2 linked regions of the Struthio camelus genome follow. The protein of the gene in region 2 interacts with the protein of the main gene of each other region in a biochemical or structural test. Links are inferred from orthologs where the notes say so. Each region holds a gene or a part of one and is shown on either strand. Other genes may lie near its edges. The genes, in order: cystatin-B and CTSB.

Region 1 (9,550 bases), on a different chromosome or scaffold from region 2:
CCGTCCCTGGGAGCCAGGATCATACCATATATCCTCTCTCAGAGGTCATACCTCTATGCTTCTTCCAGGTTAGGAGCAGTACTTCAAAAGTAAGCATATGCCATTTAAATGCTTTCTTCTGTAAGATTTGTGCTATACAGAAATCCAAGCGAACCCAAAACCTTTGCATGGAAGGGTGCAGCCGGAGAAAGCACAGCAATTCAGTCCTCCCACTGGGACTCACAAGAGGGAGGAAGTAAGCTCAGTGCCTGTCAAGAGAGTTACTATCACAAATTTTAAGAAAGGGGTAGAGGGGAACAAGAGGTATTATCGCTGGCCCTCTGCTGTCCCTCACTCCCTTAGCAATCCTAGGTGCTGTGCAAGGTTGTTTTTTTTTTTTTTTTTTGAGTTTGGGAAACAGCCTGGCTCAGCATATTTTCTACCTCCACCAGAAAGCTGAACACTGGGCTCCATGACTGCAGCCAGCTCAGAGTCACATGGCAATGACTCGTCCCAGCCCGTGACAAAAGGGCATCCTTGGCGGGGGCGGAGAGGGAGAGCCCAGAGAGAAATGCTCCCTGCAAGAACTGCTATCAACCTGCTGTGCTAGTGAATGACCCAGTGCTAGATCTGGGGGTGCTGGGGGACAGTGCACTAAACCTGAGCCAGCGGTGCACCCCAGTAATAACAGCATACCAGGCTGCATCGGCACGAGTGCAGCCAGAAGGCAGGGGCAAGCGATTGCTGCCCTTTACTTGGCACTTGTTAAGCATGTCGGGAATCATGCGTCCAATTTCCACCCGCCTCAGCCAGGAGGGGAGAAGGCTTGCAGGAAAGCCTCCCAGTGGCGACAGGTTACTGAGAAGACCGAGCCAGGCTCTTTACAGAGGGCCATGGCAGAAGGATGAGACACAGTGGTCATAAATTGAAATTGGAAGGTCTGTCTGTATATAAGGAAAAGCTTTTTCCCATGAGGACAGGTTGCTCAGGGAAGTTGTGCAGTTTCCATCCTTGGAGGTTTTCAAGAGCCAGCTGGGTGAAGGCCTGAGCAGCCTGGTCTGCTCTCAGAGCTGACTCTGCTTTGAGCAGAAGGAGCGGCCCCTTCACACCTGAAGAATCTGCGATTCAATCACAGGACTGAAAATTATTGTGTCCCGAAGGCTCTGCGGTGTCCTGCACAGCCTGCTTGCTCGCTCTCAGAGCAGTCACTAAAAGATAGGTGGTTAAAATTCACCCTGAGTAACCTCCAAAGGCTGAAGAGGCCTGGGCTGCGATCCTTGCCTTAGAGAGACAGCTCCTAGAAGACTCTCAAGCCAGGGACACTGTTGAAGGGAAGCCTGTCCTGCTGTTCCATATGCTTTACCTGCATATGGTGCTTACCTGCATATGCTGCTTGCCTCTGGGCAAGCAGCACTACTTGCCAGGGCTATGAGTTTGACCACTGTTCAGCATTACACTGTCTTTAGGAAACAATCCGATGGAGATGATAACTGGAAAAGCAGCCACAGGAAATGTATCTGTGGTGAGCAAACTTGGCAGGCTCTTAACAAATCTCCAAAAAGATTAGATTTTAAGCAAACAAAATAATTCAAGAACTCCTATCTTCATTTAACAAAAAGAACATTTTCGACATAGTCTGTATCCAGCTGAGCATACTATTCCACAGGCGAATTTAAGTTTTGAGGATTCCCATGTATGTTTCATTAAATAAAATAATTTAAAAGAGCAGTCAAAACAAACTGGACAAACTTTGAAGTATTTAGTTTTAAATGAAAATGCCAGGTTTTCAGCAAATTCCATCACTTCTGAATCCAATTGGTTTGCTTTGGTTGTTACTCTTCATCCTGTTTTTGGGTTACTGAAGCACTGCAGCCTGCCACAGAACAGAAATCCAGGTTTTTAAAGAAGTCTAGTTCTCAGCCCATGTGCAACGTTAATTGCACACTAGCCTTATCTCTAACACAACACTCAGGCCTCTTCAGAGCAGAATAATAATTGTCAATCCCTCAGCAATTCTCAATCCTGTACTCGGTACTGCAAGCTCAGCTTAGTGTTTAAAAGTTATACATCTCTTTTTAGGCAACATCATCACATTCTACAAACTAAACTTTAATTTCAATGACTACTGCGCAGTCCTGCTGTCTTTGGGCGTTTTGTACGTGCGTGGAAACTGCTGTGGTCTGGCAAATCTGGGCGATGATAAAGAGCGCAAGAAGCTACAACTTGTCCTTAATCTTTCTTAATTGGTGTGACAAACCCTAGATGATAAAAGGAAAAAGCAGAAGGCACTTCAGGGTTATTACACACAACTGACACAAGGCCGTATGTTTTGAAAGCAGAACTCACTTGTACATAGTCACTTTTAGAGCAAACGCCCGTGTTCCATTAGCATGGACAGCAATTTAAGATGCAATAACGAGCACCAATATTTGGAATTGCCAGTTTTTAGAGCTGAATTCTGCTTTGTGAAATAACAAGAGATATTTTCTTGCCTATTTGCTCCCCCCAAAAGAGGTTTAGCCTTCATGAGAGAGGGAGCTCCTTCTGCCAGGCCCTGTTTCCTCTTGAGAAAGGAAACAGACCTTTTAGGAGCTCAAACGTTACACCTCGGGAAGCAGACGGATCACATCGTGCTAAAATTACTGCTAGATACTACATCAGTTTGCACAAGCAGGAACAGAGCTGCCGAGTACCTAATGAGGCACTCAACGGCGCTCTCCAAACGCTGCGAAAACTTCCTCTTGCAATCTCGGGCTTGCTCTCTCGGAAGACCGCTAGCAGAGACCGAGCCGGCGCAGCGACGGCTTCCCAACCGTTAAGAACTACCCAGGACGTTTCGGCCGTTTGTCAGCCCCCGGCTTCCCAGGGAAGGGGCGGGGGAGGGGCAGCTCCTTTGTGTACGGCGGGCTCCAGCAACGGCTGAACACCCTGCACGCCCCGCCACGGGGATGCAGCCCCCAAAGCAGTGAATTTAAACCTACAACCGCAGTCTTGCCGCTCTCTGTTTACACAGGAAGGACGCCCGAACGGCAAAGGAAACGTGTGCTTGGAGGAGACACTGCGTAGAGCCGTGGGCACACCGCGGCGGGGAAGGGGGGGGGAGTGTCAGTGCTATAAAGCCGTCTGGGGACGTTGCCATCGCGCCCGCCGCCTCGGCGCAGGGGGCGCCCGGGCGCCCCCCTTCCCCGGCTCCCGCCGCGGCCCCCCTCACCTCGTCCGCCAGTTGCTGCGTCTCGGCGGTGGCCGCCCGCGCCGCTGAGGGTCCTCCGCACAACATGGCGGCGGCCGCCTCTCTGCTCGGCCCCGCCCGGCCCTTTGTCGGCTGCGCCGCGGGCGCGGGGAGGCGGTAACAGCGGGAAAATGGTAGAGCAGGGTAGGGTGTGTGTGTGCGTGTGTTGTTGGTTTTTTTTTTTTTTTTTTAAATACCCTCTCGTACGAAACGGCGAGGCCAGCTTTCTCCGGGCTTCGCCGAAAACCTCCCATCTCGGGAAACGCTGTAGAGCGCTAGGCAAAGGAAGAGAAAAAACCAACAGCAAAGACTTGCAGGTGAAAGCTGCCTGCAGGATGAGCTATGCTCAGGCCTTGGCGAGGGCGGGTGGCCCGTTGCTCACAGCCCCGGATGGGAGCAGCTGCTGGCAACGCTGTTCGCCTTTGCTGCTTCTTCCTTTCCCTAGTATATTACTTCTTCCAGCGTCCATCACCTGCGTGTTGGGTGTGCTCTAGCAGCATGGAGAGTTTCCGTCGCTGGGACTCTCTCTGCTTCGCCGTTTCAGCATTGCACCTTCCAGCTCGATTTTGCTGCTCCTCAGGGCAACGAAAGACGAGGGTGGATTAGCCAACACCTGGACCTAATGAGAGAAACTCCCTGGTGAGATTTTAGCCTGCATGTTCAGCGCTCTAACGAAATGTTGGCTTCTCCCTGATTTGAATGGCCAGATCCTTAAGAAAGAAAGAAAAAAAAAAGCCTTTTCCTACTCCCCTTGGTTAAGATGGCAAATTTAACAGCTAGATTCATCAGCAGTGGGTACTGCATGCTGAATGGCAGAAGTCTGCTTGCACATCACCTTTATAAAGAGGGTCCTCTTCCTCTGAGCTTCCCTTGTGTTTAGCTGTGCTCCACTGCAAGGAGTTGCAGGCAGTGGGTCTCCACAATCTGTGGCCTGAGGAGGCCTGCAGCGCTGGCTGAGCGTGCTTTGGCAGCAGATGGGGCTTCATCCGCAAACTGAGCACGGGCTGATTTGTCACTATAAAATTTGGCAGCTGTGGAAGCCTCATCATGCATCGGGGCACCCCCCTCCCCCCATCTTTTTAATGTAGATGTAAAGAATTAAAAACACCCAAAACTTTAGAAATAAATGTCAACATTATTGACTGAGTGCATAGGTGGTGAATATCGTACTCCTGCCAGCCTGTGAATAGTGCCAAGTTTGGAAAAGAGGGCAGCCACTGGTGACCTTTTGGTTTTCATGGTGTTTGTTTTTGTGTATAGTCTTCAGTTTATATCCTGTGCCTTCCTCATTTAATTCATTTAGAGCATCTATGCTTTCAGTGCTGTCAGCTTCAGAGACGACTCTGGTGTCAAGTTTGGCCTGTAGCAGTGATGAATGACTGATAACGGTAAAACTATTTGGCTACTGAACTTTTTGAAGTGTTTGGGCCATAGACAACTATTTTTTTAAAAAGGTATTTCCGCCACCTCGTGGCCATCTCCGTGCACTCATTTAAACTCAAGAAGCCCTGGGTCTAAACTAGGTGTTCTGAATTGAGGACGTAGGCCACGTTCAGCAACTTGATTTTGCAGGAGCAATGAGCAGCTCTCACTGGGTTCAGGGGTGGAATCTGATGTCCAAAGGTGTGGCCACAATGATTTGTGTTTTCAAACTTTTTTTTCAACCTGCCACACAAAAATTTTAATCAAATATTGTAATTGGCAGGTCATACTATTAAAGTTGGACTGGTTCATGCAGTTATATGCAGTAAATAAAATTTTAGTCCATTGCAAGGTGAATGTAACAAATCAACAAAAGGGTTGAAGGAAATTGTCTTACTATCATGCTCCTAGAGATTCCGAACTTCCACTGCACTCTCCTAAGCCACAACTCCTCTTCCTTATCAACAACAAGTGGAGGTGGCAAAACAAAATTTTTATGCAGTAATGTGACCTGTAAGTTTTATTTGCCTGCCCTGGCAAAAGAACAACCAAGCAAAAACAGAGAATTGTGGTAGTCTCCCCAAGGCATTCACCTGGTCCTGTGGACTCTGCTCACACGAGGCTGCAGGCCTGTATAGCTTTCTGCAGGGCTCTAGACTACGTTCATGTGTGATGAGAGGTGGAACTGGCATTTTCATGCCAGCTACTTGTGCTTGCACATGGCATCTGGGAAGAGGGAAATAAATTCTGCAGCGTAACCCCACCCTCTCCTTCCAAGCTTTCTTGGGCCACTCTTTCTCTCATCAAGCTACAAAAAAATCTCTACTACTGACTCTTACTTCCAACTTTTCCAGTATGGATGGAGAAGAACCAGGCAAAAAAAAAAAAACCCTTGCAAAACTAAGAGCACTCATGTCTGCTTTTGGGGGAGTAAGACAAGCACCAAGAGGAACGTGTTCTCTTCTGAAGACCTTACTCTTCAGATGTAGTGCACTAGGTGCCCTCTCTTCAAGGTGGGCCAGGAGGGAAATACTTACCCTAGGCATCTCCAGTAAAACTCCTGGACATCTGATGCCCTGTAGGAGCCAAAACATACCCAATTTACTCATTTATTTACTCATTTATCAGTGTGCATGTCTCAGAGCCCAGGCCTGTATGTGTCTTCCTCATCCAGTCATCTACCAGCATGCGCGCTCCAAATATTTATCTTTCCTTGCAGTCATATTATCACTTTTGGGGGGATATTTCTACATCTTTTAACTCCTCCATTTCATCTTGTTTCATTTGCTTTGTCTCAAGCCCACCAGTATTGTCACGACTAGCGCAATACTATGTGTAGATGTGAGGCAGATTAATATGGCAAAGCACAACACTGACTATGGTGTGAAAAGTTTAGCCATGTATGCCACGTGGAATATTACAACAGCAACACGTCATTAAGCGTACAACTACTAGTGACATAATCAATCATGGATACATCTCATTGTGCTCTCGCAGCATTCTCCTGGAGGATATGACAAGCTGTTCTCCCCCTCCACCAAAGCAGTCAGGCTGGAGGTGAAGCTACCTCAGCTGGAAGAAACCAGTAGGAACCTAGTAGCTTGGTCTAATGTAACGGAGTCTATGAAGAGCATTGTCTAGTATTTCCTGCTGCTCCCGCTCGCGGGAAGAAAGGAGAGATTGGGACATTACTAAATATAAATAGCAGGGCGCTCTGTCACATTAAATACTTTACATGTTCACACCCTTGGCTGTACACAGCATGCAGGATGTTGGGGGCTTTTTTATTTTCCCCATGACCGTGTGTTCCCCAAGTGAAACTGTATATCTTGCTTTTGTAGAGCGGAGAGTCCTGACGAACATGGTTACAGATCACATATACTGGATAAAGAGGGACTATTATACATAGTGGGAAAGAGAAATAATGTACATAAGTGTAAAAGCAGAGTATAGTGGAATTGCCTAATTGCCTCCCACAGTCAGCTGAGTTGCAGTCCGGCAGGAAAAGATTACAGAGGCAAGGCAGCATGCAGAGTTCTGCTTAAACCCCACCAGAGCCCATCTTCACTTGTCCTTCCAAGATGTCCTGATTTCAATAAAGCAAATGCAGTTTCAGTTCCAGGGTCCCCAGACACAGGCTTCAGACAGTCCTTCCTCTGGAGGCATGTGTGTTACCCTACCAGCACTAACAATAAACTGTGGTGGGGCTGTGTCACAGATGTGTATCTTTGTTGTCTTTCCCAATCAGAAGCAAGAGGTGAGCAAGTTCCTCTTGGGGACTGGTGTGGTTTTCATGGTCTTCTTTCGTTAGGAATGTACCGTGTTCTCTGTGACAGAGCCACTTCCAGTGCCTATGAAATTTCGAGAGTTAGCCGATGGCAGGGAAAGCTCCTCCTCGGGGCCTGGTACTTCTTCTTTTGTGTCTCCCACCACTGACTCCTGTGAGCTGGACTCCGGGCTGGAAGCTGCCCGAAAGCTGGGCTCTGCGCTGAGGGACTCGCTGTTCTGCAGGGGCAGCAGGGCCCGGTGCCGCATCAGGCTATCATCGCTGTTCTGCGCTTCCAGGGAGTTCCTGCGCTTCGTGGTCCTGTTGGCCACGGCATTCTTCTGTGGCTCCTCGAAGCTTAGCGACAGGGTGACCGTGCCGCTCCCGAAGCTGACTTTTTGCTTACACCCACGCTGCTGCTGGCGCTGCCGCTCTGCGGAGGCCGGTAGAGGGAAAGGGTCTTCATGGTTGCTCTTGCTGCTGATGGAGGAGGAAGGGGTGGAGCCAGTAGAGCCCCCCAGGCTGTTGGAGCGCTTGCGTGACACATTGCTCCGTCTCAGTGTGGCCCTGGCGGCCACTTTGAAAGCATGGGCGGCTGTACTGCAGCGCACCTCTTCTATTGTGTTGCGGGAAGGCTTGAAGAGGATGATGTAGACTTTGTTGAAGAAGATGCAGGCCAGGAGCCCAAAGCTGGCAGCCAATATCGCAATCACCTCCACAGCAGAGACAAACTTGCCGTATGTGCTGGCGTAAGCAGGGATGAAGGAGATCCAGACGATGAAGAAGATCAGCATGCTGAAGGTGATGAACTTGGCCTCGTTGAAGTTCTCAGGTAGCTTTCGAGACTTGAAGGCAAAGAAAAAGCAGATGGCTGCCAGGAGGCAGGTGTAGCCAATGAGGAAGCCAAGGGCCATCAGAGAGCCTTCATGGCAGGTAATGAAGATAATTTCATCCTCTAGGTCATGGTTCCGGTAACTGGATGGGGGCGCCGTGTACAGCCAAATCACACAGATGACAATCTGCACAAATGTGCACAAGAAGACCAGGAGGAACTGGAGATTGAGCCCCCACCACTTGCGGTGGAGGCTCGTGGGGATCTTTGCCTCAAAGACAAGCAGGACACGGTTGGTTTTCACCAGGATGCAGGAGATGCAGAGGACAAAGCTGATGCCGAAGGCTGGCTGCCGCAGACGGCAAGTCCAGTCCTGGGGTTCACCAATGAAGAACAACGAGCTGGAAAAGCAGCACAGCAAGGAGAAGAGGAGGAGGTAGGACAGCTCACGATTCGTGGCCTTGACAATGGGAGTATTGCGAAATTTGGTGAAAACACCCAGGACAAAAGAAGTCAGGAAAATTCCTAGCACAGCAAAGAGAGTCAGGGCGATCCCAAAGGGCTCTGTCCAGGAGAGGAACTCTATCTGCTTGGGGATGCAGGATGTATGGTTCTCATTGGACCAGTAATCCTCAGGGCATTTGTCACAAGCACTTGCATCTGAAAAGTAAGTGACAGGGAGAGAGGATGTTTGTTAGAATGAGAGGTCGAAATGAGGGATGAGATAAATGGGGGCTGCACACAAGCCTTCATCTTAAATACAGAGGGTGTTTCCTTCTGGTGCCTGTGGGTTCCCAGTATCAGATACTGGCCTCTCAGATCTAGGAGTGCGTTACCATGAAACAACCAGTCCCCACGGTCTACGTAGCAAAACACAAAAGACATTTAATGCCAGCTTAAAAAAAGTCCTTCCCCTGCACTCTGGCTTTTCGGATCAATTTCTTGGCAAAACTTTGCGTGTTTGATTACTATCAGCTATTACACAGGCTCTGTCCCTTGCTGTTTTTTGTTCCTTCATTTTTATCATCTACTTCTCTCAGTCTTCATACCTCTCACTCTTCCATCATCATTTGAAACATCCTGCCTGTCTCTGTTACAGGGAAAATTAAAAATGTGCTTGTGTCCTTAAGTGCTTTGGGAGCTTATTTCATACTCCAAAGATGTGAATCTTAGAAGTGTTTAAATTGTTCATCCCTGGAAAGCAGGCAATGCCCTTGACTCCAACCATACTCTCATTTCAATTAGGAACATTACGGGAAGACGTGTCTTAACAATATTGCTCTCCCTACACCCAGCAAAGCCTACCGCTGACCCTTGCAGAGGGGAATTTGATGCCTCCATCTCTTTCCTCTACAGGAAACTAGTTAGAGCCTATTGGGCTGGAAATATCTGTCTTCTTTGGCTGCCACGATCAAAAGGTGAGAACCTGCACCTACTGCACATCTTCTCTAACCGAAACAGATCGTGTGCTCCAGTGGTGAGGGTCATGGCTCCCTTGATGGTGGTGGAAAGAGGCTGAGAGCAGTATTTATGGGAAGGTTACTGGCTAATGAAGGCAGAGTATCCCAAGCTCTCATTCTGGAGAGGTCTTTGGAAGAAGCATCTGTCATCAGACATGACGCTGCTCTCCCAATGCCTGGTTGTCTCACTGTTCATGTCAAAAATTTGCACTAGGTGTAAAAGTGCAGTCAGAAGCTCCTATCACCACAAGTCTTTCATTTACTTTCATGCAGTCATTTTTATTTTTGAGCCTTTCACCTAGAAGGCTATTGCAAACTACATGCAAGATAGCAGAGCTAACTTCATATTACCAGGAAATACA
Region 2 (9,803 bases):
AGATCCAAGCCTTGGTGGACAACAGGATGAGAAACTCAGACCTGCAAGGAAACTCATACAGCAGCAGAACCAATGGCTGCTATCTCCTTGCACTGGAGGAAGTCTCACTTCCTCCACAGACACTGTGAGGAAGGGAAATGCAGCCTGCAATCTATGCAGTGCAGTAGCAAACTCAGCAGCTTACTTTTTCTGGCAAGTGTGCTCTGTACCAAAGCAGCCATAACCATGCAGCAGCAGCCGCCGCCAAAGTGATCTTACCCAGCAAGAGCCACAGGAGCCCTGATCTCTTATCTCATTGATGGTTGGGCAGTTGGGCCACTGCTTCCGTGAGTCAAAGTTATCTGGCAAGTCCATATCTGCAGCAAAATCTACCCTGTAAGTGAGAAGAGATGAGGCTTACATCAGGGTAACAGGACTGGGTGCAGAGGCCTCTCCAACCTCCTCTGAAGAGGACCTGGAAGACAAGTGAATCTGGGCAGCCAGAACACTTATTTGCTTACTAAAGGAAAATAAATATTTCTGAAGTCCTCAGGCCAGGTCAACAACTCTCCAGTGTGTTCTAGTTCAAGGATTAGGAGTTAGAGGATTGCTCCAACAACCTGCAGGATACAGGGCAGAAGTTCCCCCTGACACATGCTCCCATGCTCAACCCTGTGCAAGATGCACACTAAGAACCAAGGAGCAAGCTGTGGAAACTACACCCCCAAGCAGCTGCTATTTGGGTGTTACGACATAAGAGACAGGATCAAGCCTCTCTGCAGGCTCTGAGGCTCACTCTTGGCCTCTCTGTCCTGCCGTCAGGCTGCTGGCTCCCACAACAGGGGAAGAGAACCCTTTCAGAAACTGTCCCCCTTTGGGTAGGCTCTGACCTCAGGCAGCTTTTTGAAGCCCTGAACTCTTCTGTGGGTGGGATTTACCTTGTTTGCTCTCTGGCTCACCCTAGGTATCAGCTCTCTACATGGTCAGCTCTGGCAGCTTGCAGGAACAACCATATTGTACCCTCTTCACACCCTCTTCTTGCAAATCAAGCATCCAGTCCCAGAGCACCCCATGCAGAAGCATGCAGGGGGACCCAGCTCAGAGCCTGTTGGGAAAGGGCCCTCACCCACTGCAGACTTGCACAGGAGCATCCACACAAGCTTTTGCAGGGCCATCATCTTCCTTTCTCCGATTACTCACCTGATGGGGAGCTTGGGCCCACCCAGGAATGTGCCACAGAGCTTCTTCACATAACTCATGTCAGTGTTGTGGAAGTTGTGCCCTGCCTGGGAAGAGACAGAGTGACTGAACATGACTCTACAGCCACTACGTGCAGTCCGCAGCCACAGCATGACTAGCCTGGGGCTCCAGATCTTCCTCGAACCCAACCTGTATCTGATACTTGCTTTTAAAACCCAGAGGCCAAGAGCCAAGCTGCTTACGGTGACAGGACAACACAGCCCCTTCCAGGAACAGGGCACTGTGGCCAGTAAGCTCAGGTCCAACTCTAAGCTTTGGCCACAGCAGCATGGCAAAGCCAGGTTTGGCCAGGTTGGCAATATACTTCTACACTTGCTGTTTGTTTCCACTGCCCTGCAGAGTTCCCTCTCCTCTCAGCATTACTCCTAGTCTATGAATTCATCAGTGCTCTGCTCTAAGGAGGAGGTGCACAATCATTGTCACTGCAGGAATCCCTGATGGCATCAACTCATTGGGGAGGCCAGCTGGGACCCAAGGCTGGTTGGAGGCAAGCACTGTGATGAGACTCCCAAATCACAGCTGTTGAGTCCTATGGAGAGGAGGTCCCACAATCTGTCCAAAAAATCCCCTGCACTCACCTTCCAGGTGGTGTTGAGCTTGTTTATGTGGTTGACCAAGTCACTGGAGAGGGGAGGGTAGTGAGGAATGCTACGGGCATTGGCAAAAGCCACCAGGACACACAGGACAGACACAGACTTCCACATCTTGGCTTCAGAACAGGTTCCTTCACCTGCAACACAATTTGGTTATCATTTGCCTGAACACCAGCAGGAAACCATCCCAACCTGAGGTCAGACTGCTCTGCTGCAAGGAGGATCTGGCAGGGCTTGGCAGAAGGACTGCTAGCAGCTGTTTACCAGCAACACACAGGAGGATAAAACACATGCCTGCACAAAATCCCTCCCAATCCTGATTTACCTAGAAGGTCAGGAGCAATGCAAGAGTGTGCTAATAACTCCCTTCCTGCAGCCCAGAAGAAGTCAGACAGGGCAATGCTGTTTGGTCAACTGCTGCAGGATTAACAGCAGCAGGAAACTTGCTTTTGAAGCAGGTCCAAGGGTTTGTGTTTGGAGGGTCTCACAAGCTGTTTACTTCCAAGAAACAGAAGAGCTAAGGACTAAGAGGGATTAAATGATCTACCCCACATCAGATCCCAGCAGAGCTGTAGCCCCCGTGTACTTGCTAGCCCACTATCCTAACACAGCACTCTTCCCTTTGAGGGCCTCCCTCCCACAGCTCCCCTCCAAATCACATTTCTGGGCTCTACAGCCTCATTTGGCCAGTCTATCACCCTCAGGACCCTAAACACAGTCACATCCCCTGAGGGAAGGGATTCCTGCCCACAGAGAGGAGGCCTAAGCCCTATAGGAACAGTCCATCACTACAGCCTATACTCCCCTCCCGTGTGGGACTTTTCCACAACGGAGGTTTGACACTGCATCCCTTGGCACAGGGCACCAGGAAAGTTCCAGGCTGAGGAAGAGAGTCACAGCAGGGGGAAATCCAAGAGCACAGCAAGAGTCAGCCACAGGCCTCCTGCCTCCCACATGGAAGCACAACCACAACATAGGTACAGGTTCAGTTTTGCCACCTGTGTACTCCTCAGCTCAATCAAATCCTTTAAGCAACTTGACCCTCAGTTTAAAGCTTGCTAGTGCCAAGAGGAGATGCTCCAGCCTCACCTCCACACCGCCTTGCACCACCTAGGCATCAGTTCAGCTCACTCATCCAGCAGAAAGCTAGTCTGCTGGACAATGGTTTGGAGGACAGGCAGTCACACCACCACTCCATTTCTTCCTGCCTAGTTTTAACCTAATTTAAACCACCCTGCTCCATTTTAACCCTTTTATACACCTACAGCCGAAGCAGCAACCCTTCACACTTCTCAGCACCTCTGCACCCAACTCAGATTGGTTGGACGGGATCAGACATCCAGCCGCGTTATGAGCCAATCAGCCTTTGCAAACATGCTGCGGTATCCTCCTCCACCCACAACCTCCTGGCTCACTTTAACAAAGCTCCATCAGCCCCAAGCTCCAAGCCTGACTAGCAACCCAAGACCTCAGATACTCAGCAAAGCCCCAAACAGCAGAGACACTTAGGCCCCAATTCCAACTCATCTCAGCGAGTTAAACATGTAATCATCTCTCAGAGGCTGCACTTAAGCCCTTCTGGGCTAATATGCCTAAGCAGCCAAATAACTACCAGCAGCAGCTGTGCAGTCTCATGGCAGCAAAGCTTTCTGAACAGCCAGGTTCAAGCTGACGACGGACAGAGGCACACACATCTCCACGCATGTTGCCTCCACCCACTCACAGCCAAGTTTAGCCTTCCCAGAGAAGAAAACCCAGCAGGACTGTCCTACTTTCTGCCAGCTACAAGCCTGGGCAGTTGCAGCTAACCATATAAAAGGGCTTTTATTTTTCCCCTGCCACCATTCACTTTAATGTGGCCTCTTTGTGCTTTCAGCAGGACGCTCTGCTGGAAAGCTAGTCAAGTTTCAGAAATACACTGTCCCTCCTTCAAATCTCACTTCTTTGAAGAGGTTTTACATGTATTTGTGTGCTTAGAGGTTTCTCACAGACAACCAACTTGGTGGTACTGCCAGAGGACAGGTCTCCAAAGCCTCCAAACCTTCTCTTCTTGCCATGTTTTCCTGCTTAGCCAGCAAAAAGGTTACACTCAAAGAAAATGCACTTTTCCAATGCTAACATGGTTTTTGACTACTGACCCTTAAACACAACTATAGAAAGCCTACAGGCGACCATCTTGGGCTGAAGTGGTGCAAAGCAACTTCTTCAGGATCCCTGCCAGCTCCTTGGGCTAAGCCACATCACAGGCTTTGCTGCATGGAAAACAGGTCCACGGTGTGTTATTAGCGCTGCTGGCAAGTCCCCAGAAGCCAGTTAGTGAAGGGAGAGGGTCTACCATAACTTTATTGGCTCCCACTGGGAAGAGGGCTCCTCGTTTCTGTTACATGGGTCTAAAAAAAGGCCTTGCCTGCTCTGCTGGAAAGTCACAACATCCAAAATGACCAAAACACATGCTGGAAAGCCACAGGCTTATCTTCCTATATCTACACACAGCCAGAACAAACTGAACTAGCAACAGCTGAGCTGGGTCCAGAGCACTTAAACCCCCACCCAACACACACTCCTTTCTGCCCTCCCCAGGCTTTAGGGGCCTGGTACATATTTAACCAGAGTTTAGTCAAATCCCTCTGCACTCACAAGATGTTCCCTCACCACCCCATACCACGACCATTATAACACCACAGGGCATCCATTCCCTCAGCAAGGTCACTCAGATGGTGCAACAACCTGGCCACATTCAGGGGAAGGTGTCAGGCCACATCTCCCTGCAAGGCTCCTGGTGAGCAACCAGTAGAGACAAACTTCCACTACCACCAGCATACTGAGCATAGCTCAGCTCTGAGACTAAAAACTTCCTCTACAGTCTTTAAAACCCTCTACCTTCCAGCTGTAAAGTTTCTATCTTCCGTAGCACAGAAAGGAGGCACTTTTGAAGCCAGGATCCATTTGATACAGGTTTGTTTTCATTCGGACACTTGTGGATTTGATGACATGCCAAAAACCTATTCTGCAAAGCCTCCTGCACCTATAAGGCTGCTTGCCCAGAGCTCCTGACAGACAGCCTCAGGAGAGCTCACATCCTCAGGTTACAAGATCACAGCCACTGTCAACTGGGAGCTCCAGTCAACCCGAGACTGAGCTGAAAAGAGATACCCTCTTTGCAATGCAATCCCCCCTCTGACAGACACCTATATTTTAAGCAGGCTGCATGCTTGCTGCATTGCATTTGCCCCACAGAGTGGCTCACAGCCAGCAAACCCAGCAGGAGAAAGCAGCTTCATCTCCCAGTGCAACTCATTAGCTGGGAGCTGGTCAGTCATTTTAATAGAAAAAGTCTCTTGCCAAATCTCCTGTGGGCTCAGTGCCAGAAGTTTTGGGGGGCTCCAACTCAAAGCAAGAATCAGTTGTCAGGTTACTGCTGGATTACATGGACTATCCCAAGATTTGGGTGGAGAAGGAAGGGGAAACCCTTTGATCTCATGTGATTTGTCCCTCTATTATGCCACAGCTAAAGCAAGTACCCTGTGTATAACAAATCTATATATAGAGCAAGAGCAGGCACAGGACTTGCGGGACCAATTTCTGCAGACGACTGCAAGATATTGAGTCACGTGCACCTGACAAGTCAGAGGCAGTCATCAGGCAGCTTAAAGGCATTTGAGAGGCAAAGCAGAAGTAAAAGCAAGGCCGCTAGCTTCTGTGATCATTCCCTTTCCCTACAGATAAGGCCAAGTAAGACTCATGCAAGATAAAGCTGCCACGTGAAGTATTTCCCCATCGTCACTATCTCTTCTGCACATGCTGTTGCTCTGCAGGCAGTTGGCACCTCATGTCTTTCCGTCTCAAAGCTTCATAGCAAATTCAAATACCAAAGGAGCCCAAAGAGCAGCACCAAAACCAAGCCTGAGTAGAGACATACAACATGGGCAGCTAAAGCTCGCGATTCAAGCAGCAGTTCCCTATCACTAAATCCCCTTGTCCACTACCCCACTGGCTCCATTGTATGTCCTACCAAGCACAGGACATGGCACCTTCTTCAGGCACAGGCTCAGCCTTCCAGCCCTGCTTCCCTCCAGGTAGCCAAGTGTATTCAGGAATCAACTGCTGCAGCACTTGCTCACACACCAGGACAACCAACCTATGCACACAAGATGCCGAAGCTCAAAAGACAGCAAATCTAGCCTGGCCACACACACACAGAGCACACGCAAGGCCCAAGGCCTCACAGTTTGAGGATGACTCTAGCAGAGGTTGTCTTCACAGGCCAAACCCCATCACAACCTCTTAGCTTGTGAAAAGGCAGCTGAGCAGGTTAAAAAAAAAAAAAAAAAAAACAAACTTATCTGTTTGACTTCTTCGGACACAGCAACTTCATCTCAGCAACCCCATCAGGTCCCAGGGAGACATTTGGGGCTTGCAGTCAGCCCTCAAGACCTGTTCCATCTCCTCTTGGGCTGGACCTGAGAGGAAGTACCCCACCAAGGGCTTTAGGATCCAAAGCATCTTAGTGCAGTCTCTCAAAAAGAAAATGAGAAATTACCTCCAAGAAGTAGCTACCCACAAGCAAGCTCACACCTGGCCCAGAGCAGGACCCACACAACTAGCCTTCTAGCAGCTAGATGCTCACTAAGAGGAACTTGGGCCATATGAGCACAGGCCTCAAGTTGTCAGCCAGGGAGAAGAGCCTCAGAGGCAGCACAGAGGCCGAATGCGCTCCAATGCAAGCCATTAAGAACAGCTCCAGCACATGAGGGAGGAGAGCACCTGCACTGAGATGGTGGCTGCTCATGCTGCACCACCTACACACAGGTCCTCTGCATTTCCTGCTGCTGTTTGCAATCATACAAACAGAGGGAAGGAGGTAAGGAGCTGACTTATCACCCAGGTCCCTCACTATCCCTGGGAGATTGAGGCTAGAGGCAGCTCCCTGCCTGCTTTCCCAGGGACAGGCCCACAAACACTCAAACCATGTTAAACCAGAGAGAAGAGCACGTCTGAGGGTCACGTAACCTTCTCCCATACTGCTGAAGCAGCCAAGGGAGATGTACCTGTACTCCTGAAGAGCAACAGGGGACCCTTTGCAGTTCACAGCAGCCCTAGCTGCAGAGGCCCACCAGTAGACTCTTCCACACATTGCCCAAAGATCTAAGAGCACAAGCCCCAGTTAACTAGGAATTTCTCTCCACTCCTTTCCCCCATGTTGCCTGTGCAACCAAAGGGGCAGGAGATGGGCTAGTCAAAGCACAGCTCACATGACCCAGTTTAGGCAGGCTAGGCCACAAGGAGAGTCACACCCAGAAGCACCTCTCAGCTGGTTCACAGCACCTGGGCCAAACCCCTCCAGGCACAGATAGAGGCACCCACCCACTCTATGTCTGAGAAAGATAAAAGCTGTCTCACTGTCACAGCCATAGTGCACCATCCCTCCAGGGTTAGAAGTACTCAGCAAAACTCAAGTCATGTGGCCTCCTCTAGCAACAGCCTTCTTCCCAAGATGAGCTTTGTCCTTTGTTCGGGCCAGCACTACACTGGCTGCCAGTATTTGTGCATGACTCTAAGCCACAATAAAGCAAGTGTATAAATAAAGCAACCCTGCTTAGCTTGATGCACTGAAAGTTTAGCTTGGTGGCCAACATGCACGCAGTAAATCTATAGCCAGGTGACTTCATTACAGCCATTACAAAGCTCAAACCACTGTCATCCTCCCCTCCTCTTTTTTTTTTTTTAAAAATATGCATGATCCCCACCCCCATTCCTTTTCAGGAAAGCCAAGCCTTTAGTACAGTCTGGATAACTAACAAAAAACCCTAACAGCAAACAAAAAAACATGACTGCATCTTGAGACAAGTTGCCCTAACAGAAAATGAAACTTCCAAATTCCTCCTTAATGGAACTGCACCGATTTTTCTTTTTTTGGAGAACAACTTCTTAGAGACTGATCCATAAACCAGAGTCTTACATAAGACCTCAGTTGCTGTAAAAGATACTGTAATAGCAATATTCTAGTTCACTGCCCTCATCAACACCCTCAACTTTGTGACCTGGAGGGAAACATAACAAGGAAGTGCTCTTTGCTCTATCAGTGCACTTCTTAGAGCACAGTATCTGGACCATTGCACCATAGGCTGGCATGAAACAGCCTTTCTTCTGCACCATCCCCAAGCCAGAGCCGTGTGCATCACGGGATGTTCCCAGAAGCACTTCGGCAGGTGCCAACCCGACCTCCCTAGCGTCAGCTGACGAGCAGGCCTGTTTTGTTTCAGTCTTCATTATGAGAAGAAGATTTCCTCTCTCCTCCCCCTCCACTTCCAGGAAGGTTAGTTGCTTCTCCAAGACACACGGAGGGTTAAGGGAATCTCCCCTGCAACAAAACATCACGCAGAGCCCAAAACACACCACAGCACCCCTCTCCAGCCTGTGACAGCTAAAAAAAAAAAAAAAAAAAAACAAGATGCACCCAAAAACCAAGGGAGAGACTACCCCAACGGCTCCACCGCTCGCACCCTCGCTGCCTGCAGGGGGGCTGGAGGGCAGTGCAGGGCTGCGGCCAGCCGAGAGGCATCGCCCCAGCAGACGCCCCGCAGCAAAGCCGGGATGCCCTCGGGGCGCCACCGCCTGCAGCCCCCCTCCCCCGACAGCAGCGAGCCGCGACCCGGCGCCGGCTCTTGCCCTGCCCCTTGCCGATGCAGCCGAGCGGGGGAAAAGGGAGGAGGAAAGACCCCTTCCAACAACCCCAGCGGGCTTGCCCCGGGGGTGCAACCCACCGCGCACGGCTCCGGCAAAGCAAAGCAGGGAAGGCCTCGGCCGTTTTTCCGGATGGCAGGGCCCGAGGTGTGCATCCCGCCCCCGGCACACAAATGCGCACCGGACTTTGCAGCACGGCGACCCCCCCGCCGCCGCCGCCGCCGCCGCCGCCGCCGCCGCCGCCGCCGCCGCCGCCGCCCGCACCCACGGGCCGCCCTTACCTGCCCCCGCCGCCGCGCTGCACCGCGCCCGGGCCCCCGCCGCGCTCCTTATGCGCCGCTGCGGCTCCGCTGCGGCCCGCCCCGCGGCGACTCACCGCCCCGCGCCCGCCCCGAGCCGCCTCTGCGGCCGCCAAAGGGGGCAGCTCCCAGCAGCTGAGTCATCCCGGCTCCGTCCCGCCTCCATGCCCTCGCCAACCCACCAGCATCTCGCTTCCACCCCGACTGCAGCGCGCGTCCACCCCGCCTCCATCCTGCTTGCATCCTGCCGCCTTCCCGTCTGCATCCCACCCCCATCCCACCTTCGTTCCACCTTGCGTTCCTCCTCCGTCCCGCCTGCATCCTTTCTCCGTCCCGTCTTCACCCTACCAGCGTCCCATCAGCACCTACCTCCATCCCTCCTCCCTCCTGCCAGCGTCCTCTGAGGTTTTAGGCTGGGAAGCCCAGCAAGTTTTGACTCCAACCCATCTCCATCCCACCTTCATCCTACCAGCAGCTATCTCCATTGCTCCTCCATCCTGCCAACATCCCGTGAGGTTTTAGGCTGGGAAGTCCAGAAAGTGTTTACTATGCATTTGTTAATAGACTTTTTTTTTCCTCCCGTTTGGGCTTATTTTCACAGGAAGGGTACACTGCCCAGAAAGGTCATCCTAAGAGTTGATCAGCCAAGGTCATCCAAGATTCATGTCCTTTTCTAAACCACAGGGATGCTAAAACTTCTCTTAATAAGAAAGATCATGTATTTTTCTCTTTTCTTTCTCCAGTCTGAGAGGACATGAGGATAAAATGTATTTTCCACCAGCTTGAGGAATAGATGCACAGTTTTGGCAGAAAATAATAGAAATAGAATAGAACTAGAATAGAAATATAGAATATAAATAATAGAAAAAAAAATATGCCTAATCAGTCAGCTGAAATCCAGCAGCCAACATGGAAAATACTTGGAAAAGGCTGGAAAGGGAAGCACCTGGGACTTATTTCAGGCACCAAAAAGGGGAACCTTGAGGGC

Evidence for each region.
Region 1: the proteins of CTSB (region 2) and cystatin-B form a complex in vitro, tested with the Homo sapiens proteins (2 studies listed by BioGRID). The link is inferred for Struthio camelus from reciprocal best matches to the Homo sapiens genes CTSB and CSTB.

Annotation. Positions count from the first base shown.
Region 1 is NC_090942.1:91,152,604-91,162,153, forward strand, and holds the start of cystatin-B, read right to left. Parts: upstream 3,915-9,550; 5' UTR 3,257-3,914; coding exon 3,191-3,256; intron 1-3,190. Other genes in the region: CASR (extracellular calcium-sensing receptor), read right to left, coding at 6,938-8,388. UniProt on the Homo sapiens protein: This is an intracellular thiol proteinase inhibitor. Tightly binding reversible inhibitor of cathepsins L, H and B.
Region 2 is NC_090944.1:11,199,098-11,208,900, forward strand, and holds the start of CTSB (cathepsin B), read right to left. Parts: upstream 4,023-9,803; 5' UTR 4,008-4,022; coding exon 3,971-4,007; intron 1,970-3,970; coding exon 1,818-1,969; intron 1,266-1,817; coding exon 1,180-1,265; intron 374-1,179; coding exon 259-373; intron 1-258. UniProt on the Homo sapiens protein: Thiol protease which is believed to participate in intracellular degradation and turnover of proteins. Cleaves matrix extracellular phosphoglycoprotein MEPE. Involved in the solubilization of cross-linked TG/thyroglobulin in the thyroid follicle lumen.